Saccharomyces cerevisiae S288C: one gene and its partner. Changing the gene in region 1 together with any one later gene gives a genetic interaction. Each region holds a gene or a part of one and is shown in the gene's direction. Other genes may lie near its edges.

Region 1 (3,089 bases):
TACGAAGGTGTTATGAATTGTCTGAATAACTCTTCTAATTCTTTACCTGTAGAATTGACAGCTGCATTGGCATTGCAAACTTTTATCAGTGATGACCAGTTTAATATGAAGTTATCCGAACACGTTGTTCCTACTATGCAGAAATTACTAAGTTTGTCTAATGATTTTGAATCTGATGTCATTTCAGGCGTTATGCAAGATTTTGTGGAGCAGTTTGCTGAGCAATTACAACCTTTTGGTGTTGAATTAATGAACACTTTGGTCCAACAGTTTTTGAAATTAGCTATTGATCTGCATGAAACATCCAATTTGGATCCAGATTCCTTCACGAACGTTGATAGCATACCCGATGAATCTGACAAGCAAATGGCGGCGCTAGGTATTTTGTCGACTACGATATCTATTCTGTTGTCTTTTGAGAATTCACCTGAAATTTTAAAAAACTTGGAACAGTCATTTTATCCAGCTGCAGAGTTTATTTTGAAAAACGACATCGAAGATTTCTATCGCGAATGTTGCGAATTTGTAGAGAACTCTACATTCCTACTAAGAGATATCACACCCATCAGCTGGAAAATTTTGGAGCTGATTGGAGAATGTAATAGAAAACCAGATAGTATGGTATCTTATTATTTAAGTGATTTCATGCTAGCCTTAAATAATATCCTCATTTATGGAAGGAACGAATTAAAGAAGAACGAGTTTTACACAAAAATCATATTCGAAATATATCAAAAGGCTGTTACTGCAGAAGATAATTCGTTAGACGATCTTAGAGTGGTTTTTGATTTATCCCAAGAGTTGGTTCTTGCATTAGATGACAGTTTACCTCAACAATACAGAGAGCGCCTACTGGCGGATGTTGTCGGCTCTATTCTAACGCAAAAGAATGAATTGAAAACTAATGTTGTATTTAGTGTGACTGCTTTTAATGTCGTAATCTCAAATATGATAACAGAGCCTTTGATCACGCTTCAGTACCTGAAACAGCAAGGTTGTCTTGAAATCTTCTTTCAAACGTGGATTACAGACTATATTCCGAATTATAAAAGGTGCTATGATATCAAATTATCAGTTCTTGCGTTATTAAAAATTATACTGAAGTTAGAAAGCAACGATTATTCAGTGTTGAACTTAGAAAATTTGGTTCCGCAATTAGGGAGTATTGTTACGCAGTTAGCTTCGAGGCTACCAACGGCGTTAAGGCAATTAGCTAACCAACGCAAGGAATTCTCATCATCCGGTTTTGAAGAGGATACTAAGTGGGATGAAAATTTTCTTGACGTTGGAGACGATGATGAAAATGATGACGAGGGAGACCTTACTGAGAAATATCTGGAACTGATAAAAAATAGAGCCGATTCCTTGGACTTCGTAGATGGTTATGACGCAAAGGAAACTTTCGATGACCTAGAAGAGGACCCATTAACGGGGTCGATCCTGGACACAGTTGACGTATACAAGGTTTTCAAGGAGTCCATTGCGAACTTACAACATGTTGACAGCAATAGATATCAGGGAATCTTGAGACATCTGACCCCGGCTGATCAAGAACTATTCATGGGAATTATGAATGCCTAATTGAATTAAATGGCGATTGTATATTGAAACAAACACTGGATTACATAATTTAGATAGAAGAGAGAGGATATTATGCTCAAAGTTTGTTGCCTTTGCCTCGGCCAGTTGACTTTGATTTGATATCAAGATCTTTTTTTTTTATCTGGAGTCAATGCGATGAACCTAAAAAAATCACAAGCTTTTTTTATCTCTAAGCTGGGGAAAGAATCGTAGTTAAATCGGAAAGAAAAATATCTGAGTTTTGTCAGTCTTTCTTTTGCATAGCCCATCCTTGTACTAGATTTCATAAACATTGATCACTTCAAAATATACTTGTACCAAGATGGCCGAAAATGAGAGAATGTACATCTCCTATAATAATATTCACAAGCTTTGTCAGGGAGTGGCTAAACATATCTTAGCTAGAAACGAAAGACCTGATATTATTATCGCCATCACTGGTGGTGGTATGATCCCCGCAAGAATTATTAGGTCCTTTTTGAAAACTAAAGGACAAAAGAATATTCCGATTCAGGCCATCGGCCTATCTTTGTATGAAGATTTAGGGTTGGATAATAGCGTCGAAACTATCGGCAAAGAGGTCATCAGAACACAATGGCTGGACTTCGGTGCTTTGAACCAACATTTCGATTCCTTAATTGGTAAAAAGGTCCTAATTGTGGATGAAGTTGACGATACTAGAACTACCCTCCACTATGCTGTTTCTGAGCTGGAAAAAGAGATTGCTGAACAACAAAAGGTTTTGAATAGAATGAGTGAGGAAACCGTTATTTCTATCTTTGTTCTACATAATAAGGACAAACCAAAGAGAGCTGGACTACCTGACTCCATGATGAATTCTGGACGTTACATTGCTGCGCAAACTGTCCCTGATAAGTGGTTGTGCTATCCATGGGACGCTGAAGATATCGAAGAACATACCATGCTCGCTAAGGCTCAAGGTCATGACTGATGACAAACAGTATGTTGCGATGGGGTTGCATGTATATAGATACATATAGTTATCATTGGTAATTATTTCATATTTAACCTAAATCTAAAGATAAGAGTGTATTTCTAGTTATCTCATTTTTCCTTGCATTTCTACCATTTGTTGAACTTGTTGATGCATCATCTCTTTTAAATCGGACACATCATTTTCTAATTCCTCCACTTGTTCAGTCTTTTCACCTAATAGTTGTAAGGAGGTTTCCAATTTACTTTGCATCTGCTCAACTCTTTTTAAGAGATCATCTTTCTGTTTATTTACCTCATTGAATTTATCGTTTTCTTCCAGAAGTCTTAAAATCTCATCATTTGCTTTTGTCTTTTCTTTCAGTAAATTATCGTATAATTCCTTTGATGCTGATAATTCACCTTCCAATCTTTTTAACTCCGTACTTAACTTGTTCACCAGATGAGCGCTTATGTGGCCGTTAGAATTCGATAGCTGGACGCTAGCTCTTCTGTATGGTATTGATGTGTTGTTTAACGAGTTCATTGATTCCCCTTCCCTGATTGCTTGTAAA
Region 2 (4,815 bases), on another chromosome or scaffold:
GATTCACAATCAGTTATGAGACCCAATTCTCACTGGTACCCAAAAATGACTTGGTATTATTATCTGGAGTCGTATTACGAATTTGCTAAAATGAAAGAGAACTACATATTTTGATGCATATAACGCGTTATTATAGCCAATCCGCCTATACAAGGTGGGAGAGAGGTAAGTACAAACATGGTCATTAAGCGCTAGAAGCAATATTATTATCCTATACACTCAAATCAAAAGTGTTCTTGGCTCTTCAAAAGGACGATTTTTATTGAAAAAGAAACATATACCTCGTGCTAAAGAAAATAGTGCAAAATATGTAAAACTTCCAAAAGTTTACAAACAGATAGACAGCATGACGGCTGAAGCCATTCTTTCTTCAACGGCAGTGTTCTAGAGTTTTCATCTGCAAATATACCTAAATTTTTTCCATCATTTCTTGCAGTTAATACGTCAACAGTCACGATGACTACGGACAAACGTTTACTGTTCGGATATCAAGTATCGATATTAAGTACTCAATATTACAGGCATTATGATCTGGCCTAGTGAACAAATATAATCAGCAAATTTAGCGGAACCGATATCAAGAAGTTAAAAAATGTCTATGTGTTAACCAAGATCCACATACTTAGAATGTACCATAGTAGATGCTTATAAAAGAGCGCCATGTAGTTCCGCATTGTATCAGCTAATGAGGCAAAAAAACAAGAATGATCTTTTGTACAATTTTGAAATTTTCACCTAGCAATATAGTCCCAAACCAAGATGTTTTCTATAAAAGCCTTTAATCCGGAAGTGCAAAGTGGTTGAAGACTAGCCTGAAATCTAGAATCCTTGCATATTTTTTTAAGGTTTATTTTCCTCCCTCACTATGGAAAAATGTTACATCGATAATATTATAATAAGCTAGTCAGTTTGACCGCCTAGCTAGTACTAATTATTTGTGAAACTGGTAAGAGTGTTCATTTGCCCTTCATAAGTGAACTATAATTGGTTTAGGATGCGCCAATATCTGGATTGGACCACACTATAGAATATCAGAAAAGGCAAGATTTGTTTAACAAAAAGCATGACTAAGCTAGACCATTGAGAGCAACCTCGAAACTAAGGTGGAGCTGTGATCTTGAATATTCTACTCTGGTTATCGTTAATTTCGATTAGCCCAAGATAACTCTTTTGAATTTCAAGATTTTTCAAGCTGCCTCCTTAATGATTTTATGGATTGTAGGAGGAAAAACCTTAGCGTGGTATTTCTGGAACACGGATAAGGGAAGATGCTGATTTTGTGCCGTCTTGAATACCCCTTTGAGTATTGGACACTGTTTAGACGAACGAATAATTCGAAACTTATTGAGTGTTTTTGATAGGGGGATGTATGAATACTTCCATTTTTGGTTTTAAATAAGTACAAGAATTTCACTATGAAATGGTCAAGAATGTATTCGAGAGAAAAAACTTTTTTAGGGAGAAATAAGCAGCATGAGCTACAGAGATATCCATAACAATGAATAACATCATAATGTCTCTCAGCCAGAAAACACAGCTAGACAAATACTGACTTTGCGAATGCACCAGAAATGAACCATATGGGCTAGAATCCATTGTACCAAAAGTTGCCTGTTCTTTACGTTTACCAAAGAATATCGCACAGAAAACTGTCAAAATTCATTGCGTTGTGTGACTCTAACTGGAAGTTTACTATGCAAACAGGATGATTATTGTACATTTATTCGTAATTGCACCCAGGTCTTTTTTGCCTTTATTTCGGGTTTACAGGAAAACAAGTAAATTTTGACGTGATAAAAAAGTAGACTCGTTAAATCAGGATGAAGTACCGGTAATGGTTGCATTGACAAATAGTTGGCTCAATGATGCTAGTGGGTATTGATTTTGTTGAAAATATGGGTGTATCATTCGTGCCATAATAGAATTAGCAAGCAACCTATCATTCTACATTCTAAACGATAGTACTGTTTCCTTGCTTTTCTGAATTCTTTTCTGATGAACAAAATCCCTCCTTTCTTGGACAACATACTCTAAATTCGGTTATTGCAAGGTATCATTAATTTGCCACTAAATATATAAGTCGCAAAAAATGAACATGATTTTTTGCTACAGTTGTAATAAAGTCTTTTTTATCCAAAGCTTATGAAACCCAACGAATATAATGCATTGGACGTCCATCTTGAGCGCTATTTTGCTTTTCTGCCTGTCAGGAGCAAGAGCATCACCTGCAAAGACAGTTATTCGTAACAAGGTGCCCTTGCTTGTCACTAATGCCTGCACGAGGATTTTTCAAAAAGTTACTTGGGAGTATACCAGCAAGTCTAAGCGTTCATCACCAGTATGTTCTTACGAACCAGCGTTTCAATCAATGCTGTATTGTATCTATGAAACGTTGGATGAAAAAGGTTATTCGAATAAAACCTTAGAAAAAACATTTAGTACCATCAAAAAAAACTGTGCAAGTTATAGTGATGCTCTTCAGAACATGACTAATTCTGAGTTTTATGACGTTCTAAACAACGGAACGAGGCATATGACGCCCTATGTCAAAGGCAGTGCAAACCTAACATATCCAGTTGAAATGGATACACAGTTAAGAAAAGCCTACTATCATGCATTGCATGGTTTCTATGCTAACTTAGATGTCGGAAACATATATGGTGGCATTATATGTGCTTATTTTGTCGCTATCATGGCTTTTGCAGGCGTTCTTCATTGCATGAATTACACTCCCTTTAAAACTGTTCTATTGAAGCAAAAGCTTGTGGGATATGTAAGGGGATACCTCACTCTACCTACCATTGGAAGCAAACATGCGTCAGATTTCTCTTATTTTAGAATATTCACAGGATATTTACCTACAAGATTAGAGGGTATCATTATTCTTGGATATCTCGTGCTTCATACCGTTTTTTTGGCATACGGTTATGAATACGATCCTGAAAATATAATATTCAAGTCTCGTAGAGTTCAAGTTGCTCGATATGTGGCAGACAGAAGTGGTGTACTCGCATTCGCACACTTTCCATTAATAGTTCTTTTCGCGGGAAGAAACAACTTTCTCGAGTATATTTCTGGGGTTAAATATACTTCCTTCATTATGTTTCACAAATGGTTGGGAAGAATGATGTTTTTGGATGCTATGATTCATGGCTCTGCATATACTAGTTATACGGTAGCGAATAAAACTTGGGCAACAAGTAAAAACCGATTATATTGGCAATTCGGGGTGGCAGCACTTTGTTTAGCTGGCACAATGGTTTTCTTTTCCTTTGCAGTATTCAGGAAGTATTTTTATGAAGCCTTTCTTTTTCTTCATATCGTCCTTGGTGCAATGTTCTTTTATGCATGTTGGGAGCATGTTGTTAGTTTAAGTGGCATTGAGTGGATATACACTGCTATTGCGATTTGGATCGTTGACCGGATTATTAGAATTATCAAAGCTTCTTATTTTGGTTTCCCCAAAGCTTCCCTACAACTAATCGGGGATGATCTCATTCGTTTAACAGTTAAAAAACCGGCAAGGCCATGGAGGGCCAAACCTGGGCAATATGTTTTCGTTTCGTTTTTACATCCACTGTACTTCTGGCAGTCACATCCATTTACTGTTTTGGATTCAGTAAGCAAGAATGGTGAACTGGTTATTATCCTGAAAGAAAAAAAGGGAGTAACAAGACTTGTCAAAAAGTATGTGTGTCGCAATGGAGGTAAGACATCTATGAGACTAGCTATAGAAGGTCCATATGGTTCTTCATCTCCGGTCAATAATTACAATAATGTATTGTTACTCACTGGAGGTACCGGTTTGCCTGGACCTATTGCACATGCAATTAAACTTGGAAAGACGTCAGCGGCTGCTGGAAAACAATCTGTAAAATTAGTGATTGCAGTTAGAGGATTCGACGTACTCGAGGCTTATAAGCCGGAGTTGATGTGTTTAGAAAATCTGAATGTACAGCTTCACATCTACAACACAATGGAAGTCCCATCATTAACCCCTAGTGATAGTTTAGATATTTCTCAACAGGATGAGAAGGCTGATGAAAAAGGCACTGTTGTGGCAACTACTTTAGAAAAGTCTGCCAATCCACTTGGTTTTGATGGTGTTGTTTTCCATTGCGGGCGACCAAATGTTAAGGAACTTCTACATGAAGCGGCTGAATTGAGTGGCTCATTATCTGTGGTTTGCTGTGGACCTCCTATTTTTGTTGACAAAGTGAGGAATGAAACCGCAAAAATAGTTTTAGATAAGTCTGCAAAAGCCATTGAGTACTTTGAAGAGTATCAATGCTGGTGATCATTTTTTACTTAAAACTAGTCATTTCATTAATAATACCTATCCAAATTTTAGTATGTCGATGGAGAAAGCTGCCTATAACTTTATGGTAAGGAGGTAATTGAAGCAGAGTACAGCAGTCCTTTGATATTTTATCTAAATCTTAAATATCTCTTTTATGGAATTTGTGAAAGTCGTAGTGTGTCGCATGGTTTTTTTTCTTAAGAAGTTAGCTCTGTATAGTCCCTGTATTTAAAGAGTTAATATTTCGATAAACCTGCAATGAAACCCTTTCTTGGCAATTTGGCTATATTTAAAGTGTGAACAATGGTCACTGAATTTTTATACGGCCCTCAGGCAAATTTTATGAAACGTTAATTGCGTGTTTCAGTATTATACACAGATGCAAGGAAGATAAACAAAACTGCATAAGCTAACTTCCGTCCTGGAAAATTTACCACAAGCTTTATAATGGCTGTTATTTTATTTACCATACCATCCGTTCATATATCTTTTCAATTTTCTCTGTATTCCTGTTT

What was found.
Region 2: mutations in XPT1 (region 1) and FRE2 together harm fitness more than expected from each alone (negative genetic interaction), as found in Saccharomyces cerevisiae (one large-scale study listed by BioGRID).

The regions. Positions count from the first base shown.
Region 1 is NC_001142.9:671,088-674,176, forward strand, and holds XPT1 (xanthine phosphoribosyltransferase), read left to right. Parts: upstream 1-1,903; coding exon 1,904-2,533; downstream 2,534-3,089. Other genes in the region: NMD5 (Nmd5p), read left to right, coding at 1-1,581; SGM1 (Sgm1p), read right to left, coding at 2,642-3,089. UniProt on the Saccharomyces cerevisiae protein: May act as a xanthine phosphoribosyltransferase involved in the synthesis of purine nucleotides. Such activity is however unclear in vivo.
Region 2 is NC_001143.9:8,573-13,387, reverse strand, and holds FRE2 (ferric/cupric-chelate reductase), read left to right. Parts: upstream 1-2,161; coding exon 2,162-4,297; downstream 4,298-4,815. UniProt on the Saccharomyces cerevisiae protein: Metalloreductase responsible for reducing extracellular iron and copper prior to import. Catalyzes the reductive uptake of Fe(3+)-salts and Fe(3+) bound to catecholate or hydroxamate siderophores.